Linked DNA regions of Danio rerio. The protein of the gene in region 1 purifies or fractionates together with the protein of each later gene. This does not show direct contact. Links are inferred from orthologs where the notes say so. Each region holds a gene or a part of one and is shown on either strand. Other genes may lie near its edges.

What was found.
Region 2: the proteins of map3k8 (region 1) and tnip2 purify together in Homo sapiens (affinity purification with mass spectrometry; 3 studies listed by BioGRID and IntAct, with this or other methods). This does not show direct contact. The link is inferred for Danio rerio from reciprocal best matches to the Homo sapiens genes MAP3K8 and TNIP2.

Annotation. Positions count from the first base shown.
Region 1 is NC_133187.1:25,359,433-25,369,984, forward strand, and holds the start of map3k8 (mitogen-activated protein kinase kinase kinase 8), read right to left. Parts: upstream 6,236-10,552; 5' UTR 6,209-6,235; coding exon 6,177-6,208; intron 5,242-6,176; coding exon 4,920-5,241; intron 4,405-4,919; coding exon 4,234-4,404; intron 1,981-4,233; coding exon 1,719-1,980; intron 1-1,718. Other genes in the region: mtpap (poly(A) RNA polymerase, mitochondrial), read left to right, coding at 9,838-9,991, 10,191-10,351, 10,443-10,552.
Region 2 is NC_133176.1:40,467,999-40,478,552, forward strand, and holds tnip2 (TNFAIP3-interacting protein 2), read right to left. Parts: upstream 6,302-10,554; 5' UTR 5,902-6,301; coding exon 5,581-5,901; intron 5,122-5,580; coding exon 4,828-5,121; intron 4,740-4,827; coding exon 4,650-4,739; intron 4,472-4,649; coding exon 4,193-4,471; intron 4,060-4,192; coding exon 3,943-4,059; intron 1,964-3,942; coding exon 1,718-1,963; 3' UTR 657-1,717; downstream 1-656. UniProt on the Homo sapiens protein: Inhibits NF-kappa-B activation by blocking the interaction of RIPK1 with its downstream effector NEMO/IKBKG.

The DNA.
Region 1 (10,552 bases):
ATAGGGAGAAAGTTGGTCAGGGCTAATTGCCATTTTTTGAGGATTTGAAAGGTTTGAGACCTTAAAGAAAATCGTCTCCATGACAAACATGTTTTGTTTAGTTTAGTTTACAGTAGTTTAGTTTAAACTTTATTGTCCATCCTGCTTGGCACAGAAAGGAAATTTGTCTTTAACACTTGATTTAAGACAACAACTGCATACATACAACCATACAGCAATCACACAATAGTAAACACTTATCAACAGTTAAAAACATAAAAGCCAAATTAGCCCCATACACATTACTGAAGATCATTCTTGACAACTTCAAACAGTGATCCGATTTAAGACTACAACTGCAATTGGGATAAATTACTTTTTAAAAGCATTTTTTCAGGCTTTAGAAATTCTAAACCTGCATCCTGATTTTAACACTTCAAAGCTGAGTGAAGGAGTTGTGTATTGTATTTAATGTCAATAGAATTTGCAACAAATATCTGCATACTTTTCAGTTCTAGAAAGCACTGAGGATGCTGCATTTTGAATCAGCTGTAGTTTGCTTATTAGGTCTGCAGGGCACCTGGCAACACACTTTTTATTTTATTTTATGCAGTATAATTTAAATATTATGTTTTAATTAACTCTTTGTCACCAGTTAATAATTTGAGTGTGATATTTGATAGCAATTTGTCATCTGATGTGGCCTACAGATGACAAATTGCTATCAAATATCACATCCAAGTTCTTGACCAATGACGAAGACTTAATTCAACATCTTTTAAGGGTTAGAGAGGTTTTTCTTTTTTATTTGTCTGAGTAAAACCTGTGCTTTAATAAATATATTTCTAAAGAAATTTACTAGTCATCCAATTCCTAATATCAATTATACGTTTTGTAAACTTTTGTGTTTCATCGGGCTTTGAGGAGTTAAAGAGTTACCAGCAGTATATAACAGTGAATACAAGAACTAAGCTTTAGTTTTTCAGAAGCAAAACAAATCAGCAAAACCCCCTTTTCTTGCTCTCCCCCTATACTTCACCCAACAAAAAAAAAACTGTTTCCTCTCCAACCCAAATGTCAAGAAGCCAGTCCTCAAAACCACAAAAGCAGGCTACAGCCTAGAGCATACTCTGATTGGTCAGTCATTTTCACTGAAATTCTCTCTCTTGTCATTTTACTCTCTCAGTCTAACTGTTGTTGAAGTTGAAATAGAAATGGCCTGTTGAATAAGCCCCTGAAAGTAATACATTTGATTTGAGTAATCACTTGCTCTCCTGACTGGAAATTCCAGATGCCAGAAGTCATAAGCTGTACACCGATTGGCCCCTGTGTATGACTAAATCCTAGCAGAATGTTGTCAACTACACCCCTGCTGCATTAAATTATGTTGTGTTCCTCCTCTTTGAAGGTCATGAACTAAAACTACTTCTGTAGCCTGTGGTCAATTCTCTTGTCAGTTACTTTTTAGTTCTGTCAAATAAGCAGAATACCTTCCTTGACCACAGCCAACATCAGATTCACATACAGTGCACCTTTTGTTGCATTCAAAGGGGAAATAACAAGTACCGGTGGTTGCAAGAAAAAAAGTACTGAACTGCTTTGACCCCGCTTTGAAATTTGTTTTGAAGCATTCCACTTCAGAGCAGCTGTGGTGTGAGAGTAATAAACAATGTACTTGGTAGGAAACTGCAGTGATATTTCAGAAAAAAGCCCTTAATGATGCAAGCCAGAGCTCTTACGTTTGATGTCGTGGTGGATAATGTTGTGAGAGTGCAAGTACTCCAAGCCTCGCAGAACCTGCTGAGAGACCCAAATGATCTCGAACTCTCTCATTGGACCACAGCTCTCCAGCTTCTCTAACACCGAGCCTCCTTCGCCAGCTTCCATGAACAAATGCACCGTCTGCTCCCACAGCAAGGCCCCATATAGCTCTGCTATGTTCTCGTGCCGGAACCGGGCTTGGATTTCAACATCTGCAGGCTTGAAATGCTCCACAGGAATCTGGAGAGAAAGTACACTTAATTTCTAAGATTCATATTTTATGAAAGTACACTAAAAAATGAGCAAGCTTATAATTTTTTTCTACATAAAAATACATGCTATTTAAGCATTCATATATGAAAGTAAACCAAAACTGCTGTATATTTCCAGCCTATGTATGATTCACACAATTCCTAAAATTAAGCAAGTACAATGATTGCACTTTCACACCAATCAAGCTTTAATTAATTATAGTTAATGCATATAGTTATTGTCATATTGTGAGGTTTTGCCACATTTCCCTATAGTCTTGCAGTCAAAAACAAATATACAAGCAAAACATAATAAAACTGCAAATTGCAGACTCGCTATGTAAAGATTAATAGAACTGATATATCATCAGGATAATTATATAAATGTCTGTTTTGGCTGTTTTTTTACTGTGCTCATGCCTGCTTGACCAAATGATTACTGGTGGATCCAAAACCTACCAACATCTGTTAATGGATAGTGCACATTTTCTGTAATTGTAATTTCCAAGTGATTTCAAATTATGTGTAAAGAATTTGTTGAATGAATGTCTTTTTTTTTGTCCTAAATAGACCTGAAGTTAATTTATTATTTATGCATTTATGAGAAACGGATTCATAGTGGCTTTCCGGAATGAATCAATACTTTTGAATGAATCTGAGCAGCATTTTTGCTTGCGTGATATTTCTTATTTATACTCCTAATTATTACAACAACTAATTATTTAACCCTTTTAAAGTTACATCAAGGGAACATTTACATGATATTGATGTAATAAAAAAATGTTTTTGCTTTGCCATAAAAAATGTGTCAAACCATAACAATTCCACAAGAAACAAAATAATCCTACTAATGAATAAATATAATGTAATATGCATGCCAGACCACTAGTTGTCAAAGTGTTTTTATAAATACTGCAGGCATGGACAAATACAATCTCGTTGCCCACCTTTTTACTTTGACAATCAAGTCCTTGTGCATTCCTATGGACTGAACACATAAAACAGAGATGCCCAAACTCGGTCCTAAAGGGCTGGTGTTGTGCAAAGTTAACTTCCAACCCCAATCAGACACACCTAGGCTAGCTAATCAAGCTCTTATTAGGCTTTCTAGAAACATTCGTGCAGGTGTGTTGAGGCAAGTTGGAGCTAAAATCTGCAGGACACCAGCTCTCCAGGACCGTGTTTGGACACCCTTGACATAATGCATCAGTGCATGATGACATCAATTTCACAAAATCACAATTTTTGTCATTAACACAAGGTTAATGTTCAAAGTTTGAAAAATACTTTGCTAAAGTCACCTAAAATATTGAAAGGTAAAATTCTTATTCTGCATATTTTGACTATTCTGAAAGATTGCAGGTATTATAAAGGATTTATTTGTTTAAATGTATGTGCCCTCATATCATTTCATCAAAACAACTTCCTTTTTGCAATAAAATATTTCCTTTCATCACATGCTTCTTGGCACAAGAGAGGGACAACCTGTCTGTCATATGTTCCACCAAATCACATGTTCCACCAAAGCAGACAATTCCTTGTAGACTAAATAATGTTTATCCATCCAGTTCTTACATGGCAAGCTGTTTAATTCACACGTCTAAAAGAGGACTGCAACTGTTAAACTTGACCACAAGATCAAATTTTCATCTGCACTCTGCCACTAATTTAAGACGCCTTTGTAGGCTGCATGTTTCCACAGGGGGCGTTTCTGTCCACTTCCTGTGTGCGTTAGTGCCATTCTCAGTTTCTGTTAAAACACTGCGTGCTGCATACTGACCCTTTGAACATTTTAGGGAAATTGTGTTGTTTCCCAAAAGTGCTGTTCCTCATTTTTAAACACTTTTTCACTGCTGCTACAGTTTCTGTAAAACCTGTTTCGCTTTTCAGAACGATTTTTCACTAGGCTGTAGTTAATAAAGCCATGTGTCATCACATGCTGAATCATAAGTTCATCACAACATCATTCAGTATCATGTGTCTTTTCCTTGATTTATCTTCATGTGACAACTGCTGATGATGATGAATGAACTCTATGCTTAATTCTTATTAGAGTACTTTCAAAGTATTTAAAAAAAATATTTTGAACCTTACTGATAATAGAATGCGGATTCCCAGTAGGAAAGCTATGTCCATAAAAACCTCCTAGTTGAGTGAAAACATCTACCTTTGCCAAAGCAAAAAAAAAGTAAAACCCTGTAAAGATTCCGGAAACAAACATACTTTGCATTCCCTTACTTACTAATTTGCATGCCATTCGCTTCCGAGTTTTGGTGTCCTGAGCCAGATGGACCTTCCCAAATGAGCCTTTGGGAACGTGTCCAGGGCCCTGAGGCTTGTAGGTCAGTTTCCACGGAAAGAGAAGGACGTCCAAGTCGATGCGATAATGCCCCTCTTTAATGATCATGTCTGTCTGTAGGGACAAAGCAGGGTGTTTATGACACCAAAGGCTATCTTGCTAAACAAGTATAAACACTCCTTTACACGGGATTATGTAACTCCCAAAGCAGGTCACAAAACTAGAATATGTAAATAACTTTTACTCTTCAAATCGCACTACAAAAAAATAATGCTCTTCCTATCTTTGTCTTGTTTTCCTGTACAAATGTCAAATAAAGATTTACTTGAAATGCAAAATTACATATTATTCAGTGCCAGTGATTAGAAGTAAGTTTGATAAAAATGGGATCTTGTTTATAGAATAAGCTCATTTTTTTCTCAGTATAATTCAGTATGATGTATAGATATTTGTATTGAAAATAAAGACTGTGAAGGATTGACTATATATTTGATGTTTTTCAATGCATGCAATATTTACTCTCATGATCATACAAATTTAAGTCTTTATGCTTTAATTTAAGAAGCTGGTGGAAAGGCCTCAGAAACCCTTCAAATATTGATGTAAGTTTTAGAACCAATGAAGCTTACCTTGTTCACCAGAACACCCATTTCTCTACCAACATCTAAAAGAGAGGAGGATGGTGTGTTTGAGACCATATTCACAAAGTCCAGGAGGTCAGATGTTGTCCCATAACGGACCTTTCCAGTCTTTTGTACATGTTTAATTAGGTCATGTGCCGTTTCCTCATTCTCGTCCATCTCTTCTTGCGAGAAACCTTCCTCAAACGAAATACCAGATTCCACCACCTCACCAACACTGTAGAAATGTTCTGCCTCTTGAATGAAGTCCTCAATTTTTATGTGTGCAAGAAGCAGTTCTATACAAGAATTTCCATTGTCATACTCCATCCTTGATTGAATAATAAAACAAAATGTTTGATCATTAGAAACATCAACACATTGAAATGAATGCATTCATCCATGTTGTTTTTGCACCCATATGTATGTTTGCTGTGTGGTCAGGTATGTTTCCTGAACAGCTTGCCTGCTCTATTTTGCATGCAAGTGAGAGGTGGCTTAAAACATCTTTAAAATGAATGACAAATGGAACTTTTTCATTGTATTAACTCTCTTTTTTCTCCTCAAGAACAAACAAACAAGAACAAAATATAACAGCATTTTTGAGGTCAAAAATGACCAATTATGAGGGACATGCTAGCAGTAAAAATGACTAGCCCAAGATGATTTATCAGAATGGCTGAATCATAATAAATGCAATCACTTTTTTATGTTTTATCATTTTTGACCTATTACATGTGCTGTTTCTAAATTGATATGGTGTGATCGGGTGACTGATATACACACAAAAAACAGAACTTTCCAAAGCATTGCAGAAATACAACCCTATACACTGCTGCCAAATTTACTTCTTGTTTCCTTTAGAAACTGGGGTACTTTTACCCTATTGCTGTGCATTTGAATCTTACACAATGAAGAACATCCTAACACCCAAGAGTGTGACTCGGACACTTTGGGGATAGTTTTGAATAGCAGTTGGATGAGTTTTTAACATGCAGATTTGGCAACCATCGCTGAATATCCATTTTTGGTTTATGTTAAATAATGAATTTTTAATAATAAAGGCTGTTCATTACTGATGAAAAGAACCGGTGCTCAAAAAGAGTAACTAGAAAGGGTGCTGACAAGCATATGCCAAAAGCCCTATTAAATAATCCACAGTATTTAGCCTACTCTGAACGTTGTTCGAAATAGTATAGGCTAATGAAGCATAAAAATAACTAAACAAAATAAATGATATCTATAAAACACCAGCAGTTTGCCTACCTTTCAGTCAGTGTGTTCACAGCAGGGCGCATACTCAGTGATTGTCCATAGTTCCCTCTGAAGCTTTTTCAGACGTGTGCTCGCTGATAAGAGGAATCAGCGAGCTGCGCGCCTCCGCTGTGCGCTTACGTCACTGCGGTTTCGTTTTCTCTTTTCTCTGAGAGGTGTTTTCTCGTCTTCTCATCGAGATCACGTATCTGCTGCTTGGATTTTGCCACAGTCCCCTATCAGAATGTTCCGTAGAAGGAGGATGTCATTCGCTTTCATCTTTATGATTAATTTGCGCCAAAGGAAAAGTTGCCTTGTTGAAACCATCTTGTAGTAAACAGAAGCTAACTAGTTTTGGTCTATATACGAAATGAGTGAAGTCCGCTGACCCAGCAAAAAATGTGTCCTTTTGTTGTTTTCGCTCATTAAGAGATTTCAAAACTTCTAAACTTGTTGAAAGTGTCAGGGAATCCAGATAACGAATAGTGACAAGATTGTCTTAAGTGTATCAAAATATCTAAACGCTGTTTTCAAATTGGGGGATATCCAGGCTGCAGATTGACAGTTCAGTTTTTCCCCGAAAGTAAACGGCGCCTTAGTGTAGTAGGCTATGGAATGCCAAAGCTGCCATAATAATACATTTGGTTAATAAGCAGTAGCTGGCTTTAGTGATTTGGGGGGCCCTAGTAATGAAGCTCTAAGCTTTTTTTTCTCTTTATAGATATTGTTTTATTTATTTATTTATTTTTTTGTAAATAAAATCTGCATGTTAAAAATATTTATATTGCACTGCATTCTTTATCTTCTTAATGTTAAATGAAATACAATAAATTTGCAAATAAATAACAAGTAATTTATTAGAACAAAGTATGTACAGTTAATTAGCCATATTTGTGTTTTTAAAATTTGCATGTGCAGTAAGAAAGGAATATTCCATTGTTCATGAGGTCCCCTGGTTTGGAAAAAAAGTAATAATGTTAAAATCTTAAAGGTTATAAGCAGATTTTACAGCATATAAAAGAGAATTTATTAAAAGAGATATGATTAATATGCATCCTGACATAGGTTGGGGCCCCTAATTCGCTGGGGCCATAAGCGGCTGCTTTACCTAGTATATTAGTTAAGTTCAAATCAATTTTCAATTCATTTTTATTTGTATAGCGCTTTTACAATATAGATTTTGTCAAAGCAGCTTCACATAGAAGATTATAGTAGATTGAAACAGTGTAGTTCAGATTTTAAAGTTTAAATTCAGTTTAGTTTAGCTAAGTCCAGTGTGGTTTAATAATCACTATTGAGAGTTCAAACAATGAAGAGTAAATCCATTGATGCGCAGCCCTACATATCCCGAACCATGCAAGCTAGTGGCAACAGAGGCGAGGAAAAAACTTCACCATACCGCTAAGTGATGCATTGTGTGTGCTTTACTAAACAGATAGGTCTTGAATCTAGTTTTGAACTGCGAGAGTGTGCCTGAGCCTCGTACCTTATCAGGAAGGATATTCCAGAGTTTAGGAGCCATAAATGAGAAGGCTCGACCCCCTTTACTCGACTTTGCTATTCTAGGTATTACCAGAAGCCCTGAGTTTAAAGATCTTAAAGAGTGGGTTGGATTGTAGCGAGACAGAAGGTTGATTAGATAGACAGGAGCTAGATTATTTAAAGCTTTATAGGTAAGAAGCAATATTTTAAATTCAATACGAAACTTAACAGGTAGCCAGTGTAAGGAGGATACAGTTGGGGTGATATGATCATATTTTCTATACCTGGTAAGAACTCTGGCAGCTGCATTTTGTACTAGCTGAAGTTTATTAATAGAGGATGATGGGCAGCCAGCAAACAAAGCATTACAGTAATCCAGCCTTAAAGTCATAAAAAGCATTGTCTAGCTTTTCTGCATCTGAGATGGATAGCATACTTCATAACTTAGCGAGATATCTTAGATGAAAGAAAGCAGTTTTTGTGACATGGGATATATGATTTTCAAAAGTTAAATTGCTGTCTAATATGACACCCAGATCTTTTATAGTAGAGCTAATGCTAACTTTGTATCCCTCCAATTGTACGTCGAGTTGTGAGATCTGCTGTGTACAGGATTTAGGCCCAGTAAGTAATAATTCTGTTTTGTCTGAGTTTAAGAGAAGAAAATGGTTTGTCATCCATTCTTTAACATCTTTACAGTTTTTTTTTTTTTTTTTTTTTTACGATGGCTATGACAGTTTTTTTCAATACATTTAATAAGTTTGCTAAACTCTTAACACAGCAACACACCTAAAACACACAATTGGCAAAACAGTAAATTTCATGCTCAAAATCACACATTGTAAACTAAACCTCTAAACTACTTTTTAAAATACAATAATAAACTAACACACCACACCATGTCTAACAAAACACTGTAAACATGTTTCAAAATAAAATAATGATTCAAAACACTAACACGTTCTCTTCCGATAGAAACATTTAGTCATTCATAACACATTGATAATAAAAACACTATCATCAGCTGACATTACAGAAACTGCAATGTTTGATGTGTCAGGTCTGCCCTTTACTTGAAGCCTCTCTACATTTTTGTGTTGTTGAGTTTAGTACAGTAAATGCATGCATTTTGTTATACTGCAGAAAATCATAACTAAAAATGAACGACCATCCCAGAGTAGCTTTAAAAAATTTACAGTTTACTGTATGTAAAAAAATAATACAGACACAGAATTGATGCAGTACAGACTTTATTTGCAAAAGGACATTACTGCAAGATGTACAAACAGAAAAAAACACCACAATAATAATAAAAAAAGTAAAGTAACTTTCTATTCTGACTAGTCTTCTGCATTTTCCCGACTTCTTCTCTGGCCCGGTATGGTAACGGTGGCCCTTTGGCCTATTATGTTTCTCCTATGGCGATGCCTTCTCGCCAAGTTAAAGCCAGCCTCGTCAACATAGATAATTGCATGTGGAACTTGATTGACCTCCAACTCCATGACTCTCTAGAAGTAATTAGACACAGTGTAATGCTTTACTGTACTGTATAATTATGTATTGAACGCCAGGTTTATTGAGTAGTTTACTGCAAAACACACTGTGTATAGTAAAGTAATCACTGTATTGCATAACCTTACCTCGACGTATTGGTGACGAAGTTCTGTAATGTGCTTACTGTTTCTTTCAAAAACCTCATGAGTCCACTTTTAGAACATACAGTATGATCATGTGATTTGAAAAACCTCAACATATGAGTGTGCTTCCTATATGGGAATCTGCTGTGATATGTATGTGATATACTGTTTACTTTGGCTTTAGCCTATATAAGTTTTGTTTAGAACATGGTGTTATCTGTTCTGACATACTGTGTTAAAGCATTTGTAAATTTAACTGTAAAATGACATTGTTTTGCTCTTGGTTGTGCTTGTGTGTAAAATAAGTTCAAGCATTTTAAATTTGTGTTAACTGGATGCATTTTGTGTCAAAGCAAAATGTGTTAATTGTATAGCCCACTAAGACGGATGTTGTGCTAACCGTGTTAAAAGTTTAGGAAACTTGTTAAATGTATTGAAAAAAGTGTCATAGCCATTGTAAAAACCTGAAATTCAGTTTTGGCGTTCGACACGGTATGTCCAATCGCAGCCACCGTAGAGCCAACTTCTGCGCTTGCGCCCGTCTCAAATCAACAATGGCGGCCTCCCTCGGCGTGTGTAGGTTACATTTTAGAAGTTTAGGAGGTCTTGATAGATTTTGTCTCGGATTGGAACCTCAAACGCAAAGAAGATGTACGTCAACTATACCAGCAATCAAAACCCCGACCGGGAGCAAGACCGCAGACTTCGGTAACATTTTTATTCTTGTATATCTGTAAGCATGGCATTTACTAACTGACTTTAAAACAGACTTGACAGCTGCAAAATGTATTCGCGTTGTCATAGTATTTACAAAATAACTACAAAGTTGTCATCTAATGGTGTAACTAGCGATGTAGTTGACATGTGGATGACCAAACACCAAGTCTTTGCGTTTTTATCTCAAAAGTGAAGAAGAGTAAAACATTTCAAGCAATCCAAGAGGAGCGACGAGAACAAGCTGAAAGATCTGTTTTAATCAGCTGTCCTGCTAAATTCAGCGAAAAGAAGTTTTTAGATTTCTTCTCCAAGCATGGGACAGTCAACAAGCATTTCTTCTACAACAGTTTTGTAAGTGTGGCAGAGCTATTGCAAGTCATTTTATCTCAATTCAGCTGAGTGATGTTGTGAACTGTTGTTTTTAATCTGCTTTGTTTTTTAGGGTGCGTATGCGGTAGTTGAATTCTCCAATAAAGAGAGCATAGCCTCGTTGAAGGAGAGCACAGGTATACCAGCTGTTGATCATGAAGCTGCAGTGCCTTTTAAATCCCG
Region 2 (10,554 bases), on another chromosome or scaffold:
ATTCAAAGGGGGCTAATAATTCTGACTTCAACTGTATATAAACATGTTGTATTGCCTATAATAAACACACAGCAATCACTTTGTATGATTATTTGAACAACTGAAGCCACATGGAATGTTTTGACAGTGTTTTCAGTTCCTTTTATGGACTTTGAACGTCTCATGACCCTTGCCGTCTATGGAGAGTCAGAGAGCTCCTGGATTTCATCTAAAATATCTTAATTTGTGTTTAGTAACAACATGAAGGGGAGTAATTAATAACACAAATAGCATTTGATAATCGTTTTTGCATCTCAGAAAGTAGACACTAGTCTTGTTTGGCTTTACAGCCTTCTCCCCTTTAAATAGCCAGTCCTGCTATATTCCTCTACCCCACAGTCGCCTGCTTCTGCTATTCACTTCCAGGCCTCAGGACAGCTGAGAATTCACTGCAGTTATAGCTGTCCATTCAGATGTGCTCGGGTAGGGGCTTTCCAGCTCTTGTGCGCATACACACACACTTACAAAAATCCCATGCGACTTGAGTTTAATGCTTTATGACACACCCCATGATCTTTCCAGCATTATCGCAACTGTCTGGTTTCATATATCTTGCTAATAATTAACTATGACCGCACAAACACACAAATAAAATTACACATGGTTTTTAAAAGAAAGTCTTTTAAGCATGTCTTTTATTACAAAAATAAATCCTCTCAACATCTTAAAGTCTTCCTTTGGCATCACTGTTATTACTCAATTTTGTTTTTAGATAAATTCTTTTAAATTTCTGCAGAAGTGTTCAAACGTGCTGTAGTAGAAGGCCATTTTGTCAGACGCAGCATCTGAGATGTGAACATTTGATGTCTCAGTTTACCAGGATGTAGGGAACTTCCTCTCTTACTTAAAACTAGAATGTTTTCAACTACAGAGGGGGGATCAAATGGCAAGTACCTCACAGTCAAAAAGGTGCCTTAATGTCTGAGAAAGTAATAACACGTTATATGATGAAGCCATATAACATTTAAAATAAAAAAGTTGGATGTTATTTAAATGAATAATAATCGCAAAACAAATCTAAAGATTATTAATAGTGTGCATTGTGATGCTGTTTCCTTTGGTATAATTTAAATGATCTGATTTAAAGATATATAACAGCATAACTACAAATGGAAATATTACAAAATACTGTACAAATAGCACCATGACAAAACAACATGAACTATATTCAAAATCTAATAATAAAGGAACTAATGAATTAAATATAATAAATTGTGTAGACAATAATTAAAATAGTACAAAAAAAAAAGTGCAAACCAGCTGATAGAGACTACAAATAGGTGAGGTATACACACACAGATCTGCAATTTGGCCTTTAGCATAGTTTGATTCGGAACTCTAAACGTACCATGCTGTAAACCATGACACCAAAGAACTGGCAAAACCCTTATGTGACAACCGCAGATGCCCAAGACTGAATAACTTTTCATAACCAAACCATCTGCATTCAACGACAGCGAAGTGAGTAAGCCTTTAGATTGGACACAACCAACTCATATCTTGAGTCCTAGGCCGCAAACGACCTCGAAAAGCCAAAAACTCACTAGAAAAAGCTCTTCCTACGACTCCATCCCATAAAACGTGTCCCTGTCTTGTCGCATCTCCCATTAAGTCCCATGTGAGCTTGTAGTGATTGTGTCCTCAGTGCTTTCTGTGTAAAGTCAGTGAGGTGAGAGACTCACAGCTTGGCACACTCGTCCCAGTGTTTAAGGTATTCGGTCGTGTGCTCGTCGTCGAACCTGATGAAACACCGAGGGCATTGCAGCTCGGCGGCTCCTTGTGGCGCAGTGTTACTGATAGTCCTCTTTGAGCTTGTTTCTGGGGGACTGTTTCTTAGTGGTTCTGCCGTTTCCGTTTGTCGGTGGCTAGCTTTTTTTAGGGCCATGATTTTTTTATGGCGTGAGGTTGAGGCTTCTTGGACATTCTGTGTGAGAGAGTGACTGTTAGAAGGATGTTTAATTGAACATTTTGAGTTAAGTTTTGTAAACAGGACAGAGAACGCAGTGTGCGTGTGTGAAAGCATATGAAATGTCAAGTACAATGCTGGTGTTTACTTCATTGTGTTATCTTTTAAAAGTCAAATAATAGGTTCTATTAACATTGTGTACACTGCCAGTCAAAGGATTTAGAGCAGAATGACTTGGAAGGATGTTTAATTCAATATTCTGAGTTAAGTTTTGTAAAACGGTAAGAGAACGCAGCTTGCGTGCGTGTGTGTGAAAGCATATGAAATGTCAAGTAAAATTCTGGTGTTGACTTCAGTGTTTTACCATTTTCAAAAGGTCAAATAATGGGTTTTATCAACAAACTGTACACTACCAGTCAAAAGTTTTAAGACGGAATGATTTTAAATGTTTTTTTTTGTTTGTTTTTTTAAAGTCTTTTCTGCTCACAAAGCCTGCATTTATTTGATCCAAAATGCAGCAAAACTATAAAACTGTGAATTATTTTTACTATTTAAAAAAGCAGTTTTCTCTTTAAATATATTGTACACTTTCTTTTTTTTTTACTGATTTCAAAGCTGAATTTTTAGCATGTTAAAAACTGCTGAGCAGAATATTTTAATCTTGTCTTTAGAAGCATTTATCTGAAATAGAAATCTACCGTGACATTATAAATGCCTTTATCATTATTTTTAATAATCATAACTATTAAATACTTTTAATATCTGAGCTCATTCCAATCAAATGTTTTCGTTCTATCCTTTTTGACAAACAACAGTCCATTTCTCAGTGTATGTGTTTTTAACATATTGTAATGTGGTATAGCTGAACAACTAAACTGTAATTTTTATATTATCTTAACTTTCTATTTATTATTATTACTATTATTGTTGTTGTTATTATTATTTTTTATTCATAAGTCGTGTTGTGGACCTAAGATTTTAATCTCAATGGGTTTTTATCCGGTTAAATAAAGAAACATACTTTTAAATTTTAATATAAAGTATCCTTGCTAAGTAAAGGTAACAAATAAAAAAATACTGACTGTCACTGCTTTTAAGTAGTATAATGTGTATGATGTCAAAAGCTTTTGAATTTAGGTAAAATGATTGATTTTGTTTGACGTTCTCTTCATCAATTAATTATGAATATCATCATTAAACTGTGATTAAATATTAAAATTATTAATGAAAGTCATGTTTTGACTGATTTTGCTGTACTTTTGAACAAATAAATGCAGGTTTGGTGAGCAGAAGTGTGTTCTTTTAAAAAAATAAGAAGATAATTTAAATTCTTACTAAATTCACTAATTGAAAACTTGTCAAATGGGCGAAACCTAGTGGTTTAAGGGATAGCAGCAAAGATTCAGACAATATGTTAAAATGACAAATTAAATAGTTTTAATTTGATTGATTTATTTTTATTTTTTTAATAAAATTATTTGGGATTACGCTGACATTTTATTGTCTTTGGTAAACACTTAATTGATCATTATTGTTTGTGTAAAATGGCATGCAGGGTTTTTCCTGCAAAGAGAATTGTGAGGTGGCCACCTCCATAATTTTTTGCACCACCTCCAGCTTTTGACCAATCAGGCATGCAGTCACGGCAACCAACAGACCCCAAGTGATGCTCAAGCATTGGTCATTTATTTAGTTGCATATAATATCTGCCTTTTTAAATATGAACATGTTTAACTTGAGTGGGTTACTAAAAAGAATGCAAAATGTGCTTGTTTCAAGTAGCAAACATTTCATCTTCCATCTTCGGCTTATTTTGTGCCAGAAAAAACCCTGTCGTGTTTGTTCAAATACAACTTATAAATGCTTATGTCCATTTATTTATTTTGTAACGCTAAATCAGAATGCTACAAATGATTTTATTGGGACTTTAAATGATACAATGCATATTTTAAAATTATTTTTAAATACCTTGATGAATAATTAATAATTAGACTTGCCTGTGAACGTATTTGCAGCTGAAGTCGCCCAACTTCATCTTGAAGGTCCATGATTTTACCCTGAGCCCTCTCTCGGTCTGCCCTTTCCGATTTAAAGTCTTCAACATAGGCCAGAACCTGTGAGTGTACAAGTAAGCCATTTGTGTTATGGGCAGCAAGCCAAACAACAAAACTACTTCTCACCTTTGTTATGACAAAAATACAACGACTTCCTATTTAATAGGATTGTACACACTGAACGGATACAGACCTGCTGCTCGAGCATCTGTATCTGCTCTTGGTCTCTTCTCGCATTGTCATCCCTCTCTCTACTGAATCTCTCACACTCCATCATCTTGTCCTGCAGGAGGCCGTTGAGTCTCACAATTTCCTGCTGGAACAAAGCCACGTGTCCCGCAGTCGGGGCTTGGGTTAGAGTCGGATCTGCGGAAGCCAGTCCATTTGACTCTTTCAACTTCTGACACAAACCCCTCACGTACTCTTCTCTACTCGAGTCATACTTCTGCCATTTTGAGTTTAAACTTTCCACCTGAAATGGAACAAAACAAGTTGTGATGTGAAAAAATTACATGACATTTTCCAAGAATTTTTTTACACTGTTGATTCTTTCCGTAACAGTTACAGTATGACATTTTCAGCATATGACACAGGTAAAACAAATGTCAGAGGGTGATGATCAAACAACAGTTCCATCATGTGATCCTTACATATGCCACTCTCTTCTTGAGCTGGTCGTTCTCCTCTTCTAACTTGCTAATGATGACATTTAGCTGGGGAACTTCGGGGGAATCTGATGTCTGATAAAATATAAGGTCAAATATAATCATTAGGCAGCTGTTTTAAAGGTGCCTTAAATGTTGCAGACTGACAGTTTCCACAACGCACCTCATGAACTTGAGTTCTCTGATCCGTCATGGCTGTTTTGTTTTTCTCGTTTTCCAGCCGTCCCAAAAGCTCCTGACACACCTGCACAGTGGCCCCCAACTGGGCCCTTAACTGATCGGCTTCTTCAGCAAGAGAGTTGCAAAGTACAGTCCTGGTGGCCTGTGTCCGATCTCTTTCGGCCAATGTGGTGCGCAGTTGCTGGATCTCCCTCTCTTTCTCCTGCTCTGGTCTTTCCCTGATGGTCAGCAACTCTTGATCCCTCTCCTTCAACTTTTCCTGCAATCTCTGGATCTCCTTAAACAAGCAGTCGGGAGATTCACAAATGAGAAGGTGAACACGAAATGCACTTGTTTCATCAAAACTAAAGCATATTCTGTATTCATGAACAAAGTTGTACATAAAAAGCCGGACTAACAGTACAAACAAGCAAGAAAAACAAAGCTTAAACTTAAGTTTTCTGGTCAGTTTTTCAAAGGCACTTAATGTTAGCTGACTTGAAGACCACCATAAACCAGCTAAGACCAGCAACACATTGTAAGCTGGTTTACATGTTTTGTTTTTGTGATATAACATTAATTTCATTACAATTTCTTGAGTTAGGAATTGGAGTATTTTATAGAGAGGATACTTTACAGTTCTTTTACAGTCATTGGAAAAGTATACTGACAAGAAAAACAACAAATTTACTCTAATTAGTAGAGAAAATGTTATTAATTATTTCATATTATTAATTCAGAATTGTGTTTAACTTACTTTGTCTCTGGTTTCCAATTTCTGGGCAGTGTCTTTCTCTAAATCCTTCAGTTTTTGCTTTAATTTGCAAATTTCCTTACACAAACTTTCGATGAGTGACTTCGATGGCCCTACAATATAAGGTTCCTCTCCCTCAATGACCACGGTTTTCTCATACTTCCCCAGTCTTGCCCTCAAATCGGCAATAATCCCGTCTTTGGAGGTCACCAACTGATTTAAACGAGCAATTTCTTGCTGTGTTTCGTGGTAAATTGTGTTGAGAGTAGAGCAGCTGCGCAACTTCGCCCTCAGCGCCTCGTTCTCCCTCTTCATCTCATCCATGCTGAGCAATCCGTTAAAACGAGCACATATAGTACAAATTTCCCATATATTGTACAGGTCTGAGTGTCATAGGGCTCACAGGCGTCTGCTGTAACTTATGTTAGACCAAAATGTTTCAGAGCAGTTTCAGTCTGCGAGAGCCTCACTCAATTTCGAAATTATGAACAGGGGATTTCCTCACGGGGACTTCCCCCCATCTCAAACTGGGTATATTTTTTGTACTGCACATAAAACGTCGAGAATAGTTGGGGTTACAGGCGCTGTTTTGCCTTCAAACGAGTTAACTGTCGAGTCGTGTGCGGTTTAATAGTGATTTTACACGTTTAAGAGACAGTCGACTCGCTCCTTCGTGTCGGATTAAGTTTACAGTTCAGTTTGACGCCGCCTGGTGCGCGTGGACGAGGATTGCGCGCGACCAGCATGCTACTTTATACTGTCAGTGACGCGCGTGGTGGTTAAACGTTTGCTTTTAGCTTCCTTGGTTATAACGATTAAGTTTGTCACGTCGCTCCCGAACACGGTACAACGAGCAGTTTAACACGCACAGTATTCTCAAGTAGCATCCGTGAAGGGAGTAGTCAGTTGAACTTGGACAGGTGACAAATCTTTACATATGGAAACGTAGGTAAAGTTCAAAATCGAAAGCAGGAGTCTATTCACACCATAGCTTATTATAAAAATATCCCACACTTTAAAGTATAACGTAGTCCAATATCAAAAATAAGATTAACCCTTTTACAAAACGGAATTCTTTAGCTAAAGAAAGCTGTAACATGTTGTTTCCTATTTAGCTCCATTGTTTTGTTTCCATTGGGAACCGAAACTGTTTACCTTTCTGTTAGTCTGTTTACCAGAGGCTTTCAGACACCACCACCATAGGACCCCCTCCTAAAATGTTAAAGATAATTCTTGTTCAAGACTAATAAATAATAAATAAATACATTAAATATATATCATTTCTACTCATCATTTTTGCCTGTGTAATTATTTAAATCAAATTAACTTTTAATAAAAAATATTTTGTATTTTTAATAAAAATATTTCTAAAAATGTTTAGTATAATCTAATCTAATATAATCTAAAAATATTTAGATTAATGTGAATCTTACCAAATAGTATTTTTAATTATTATTTTAAAAATGTTTTGAATATTTGGATGAAAATAACATAACACTGCCTAAAACTCCCCTTTCTTAAAAGATTCCATCTCATACCATTCCTCTTTTCATAATGGATAATGCCTGCCATTATCTTGGATCACATCTTGTCAATTGTCTAGACAATGAAAGCCAACGGTGCTTAGTTTGTGATCTGAAGATTGAACCATAAAACAGTCATTTTAATTACACAGTAATTAACAAACTTACAATGTCTAAACCCTCATTCTTAGTGCGAAGAATCTTTATCCCTCTGCCAAAAGCAGCACACATGAAACGGCAGAAAGTCCCGTTGAGCATGTAATGTTTGTGTGAGTTCATGATGTTCTGCCTAGGGAAAGTCCAAAACTGTTCTTTAAAGTTTGCCACCATCTTGTGGTATCAAAACAGCATTGACACGCATTTGACAGACGTGATATATTACTCATAAATATAAGTCAATCACGCACATGTATATAAATATAATTGTCACAATAAGAACACAGCTGAAGGTGCTTTTTCACACAACAGCCATTTCAGCTGTGTATACACATTTTTTATTGTTTAGGCATGCTTCTGCAGAGGTATGAAGTAAATCTGTGAAATTATAGGCAATGAAGTTGGTAATTACTCTTGGATCACATTAGGGCAACCCTTTCATTTGAGGATGGAATGTAGAAGTGCTTGCGTTTGCAACTTCTTGGCATTTAAGAACGGCTGGGAAAAACAAAAGGCAACCAATGGCTTATTTTTAATGACTTTATTTGAAAATGGTTAATACATATAAATAAATGACTACAAAATATATAAATAATAATAAAAAATACATCAAACAACTTCAGCTCCAAAGATATTCAATAATAAAAAAAATAATATAATAATATATATATATATATATATATATATATATATATATATATATATATATATATACACACACACACATACACACACACACACACAGTTGAAGTCAGAATTATTAGCCCCCCTGAATTATTAGCCCCGTTTTTTTGTTAACGGAAATTATTTTTTTCCACACATTTCTAAACATAACAGTTTAATTACTAATTTTTAATAACTGATTTTTTTAAATCTTTGCCATGATGACAGTACATAATTTTTAACTAGATATTTTTCAAGACACTTCTTTACAGCTTAAAGTGACATTTAAAGGCTTAATTAGATTAGGTTAATTAGGCAGGTTAGGGTAATTAGGCAAGTTATTGTATAATGATGGTTTGTTCTGTTGACTATTGGGAAAAAATAGCTTAAAGGGGCTAAACATTTTGACCTAAAATGGTTTTTAAAAATTAAAAACTGCTTTTATTCTAGCCGAAATAAAACAAAAAATTCAGGGTGGGGGGCTAATAATTCTAACTTCAACTATATATATATATATATATATATATATATATATATATATATATATATATATATATATATATATATATATATATATATATATATATATATATATATTAATTAATACTAAGTTGATGTAAATCAGTGGTTCCCAGTTCTTTTAGACAATTTTTAAGTTCTAAATACAGAAGTTTTAAAAACAGAATTGATAATTTTGTGCAATGCAAGAAAAGCTTATTTATTTTTTATAATTTGTTTGCGTAATTTAGATGATGAGTTTTTATGTAAAGTATACTAATAATTTGCTTCCTTTTCTTTAAAAATGTATTTATTTATTTTATTATACACAATTTAAATTTGCAATTAATTTAATATTATATTTAATATATTTTTTCTTCTATATAATTTAAAAGTTACAATAAAAAAATGTATTATATTTCTATGCCAAAACCATTGCACTTAAAATCCTAAGACTGTTTGGTAATTAAAAGTTTAAAGATTGAGAACATAATTAAAATTATCATTTAAAAGTAAAAAAAAAAAAACATTCTGTGAACCACTGATTTAGACCAAGTTACCTTAAAATAATTAATAATGCTTATTCACCATTTTATATTAATATTATAGAAATTTCCTTACATACCCTCCTATAAACATTTTCCTTAAGAGAACATTCCCATTTTACTACGCTCCTGGGATTTCCAACTTGCAGCTATCAGAGCATCGAGTCATAATAAATGATGTCTTAAACTGCCGCTAGGGCTCAGCGACATCAGGCATTAAGAAGCCATTGAAAGGGTCGGTTGCTCCATCATCACCGATATCCTGAGGAAGGTTTTCCTCGCTCTCACAATCTTGACTGTCATCGCCAGGCACACACTCAGTGGAGCGACTTTCACTATCCGTGCCGCTGTCTTTAGACTCGGTGCTTTCACTGCTGCTACTGCTGCTGCTGCTGTTACTGTTGCTGTATTCAGTAGCAACAGCACCATTGTGTTCAGCGCTTTCACTGGTGTCATCACTGTTATCCACTTGCATCTTGTTCACGACAACCTTTTCCTGGCTTTCGCTTGATTCGCTGCTGTCACTTATTTGGGATGCGTCACTAGTGGACTGGATGTCATTTTCATGTGGCTGGCCGGTTGGTTGCACAATGTTGTTGTTTGGTTGGACCCATTTGAGGGTGTAGATCCAGCCCTGTAAATGAATTATGAAGGCCATTATTCTTGTGTAAAGGCGTATGTTCTATATTATGGGTGAGATGTGATGTTTCTTACCCTACGGATGTTCTCTTTACTGCTTTGAGTGTTGTCGGCTGTCAGTGCGGTCTCGCTTTTTCCAATCTGGATAAACACAAATGATAGAAGTTAGTTTAAATATAGGGGAATTAGTTTTTGTGCTATGACTTTTTTTTTTTTTTTTTTGTGGCTCTGGATTTAAAATTGGGATTTAGTCAGAAGTTGAAGTTAGAATTATTAGCCCTCCTGAATTATTAGCCCACTGTATATATATTTTTAATCCAATTTCATTTTACGGAAATATTTATTTCAACACATTTCTAATAACTGATTTCTTTTATCTTAGCCATGATGACTGTACATAATATTTTGCCAAATATTTTTCAAGATATTTGCTTAAAGTGCAATTTAAAGGCTTAACTATGGTAATTAGGCGAGTCATTTTATGATCATGCTTTGTTAGACAAACGAAAATATATATAGCATAAGGGGGCTACTAATATTGACCGTAAAATCGTTTTAAAAAATGTAAAACTGCTTTTTATTCTAGCCTAAATAAGACTTTCTCTAGAAGATAAAAATATTGTAGAAAATACTGTGAAAATAATATCCTTGCTCTGTTAAACATGAGTTGAAATTCTTTGTTTGTATTTTAAAAATGCACAGTAGGGCTTATAATTTTGACTTCAACTATATCATATGGAAGCTGAAAAAATAAGATGTTCATTGATGTAATGACAACATTTGATAACTATTTGAAAATCTGGAATGAAGATTTAAAAATATAAAAAATATCACTTTTAAAGTCTTAGCAATGGGCATTGCTTATTAAAAAATTGAGCTTTGATATATTTACAGTAAGAAATTAACAAAAAAAGTCTTGATCGATCATTACTTAATACTCAAAATAAATAGTC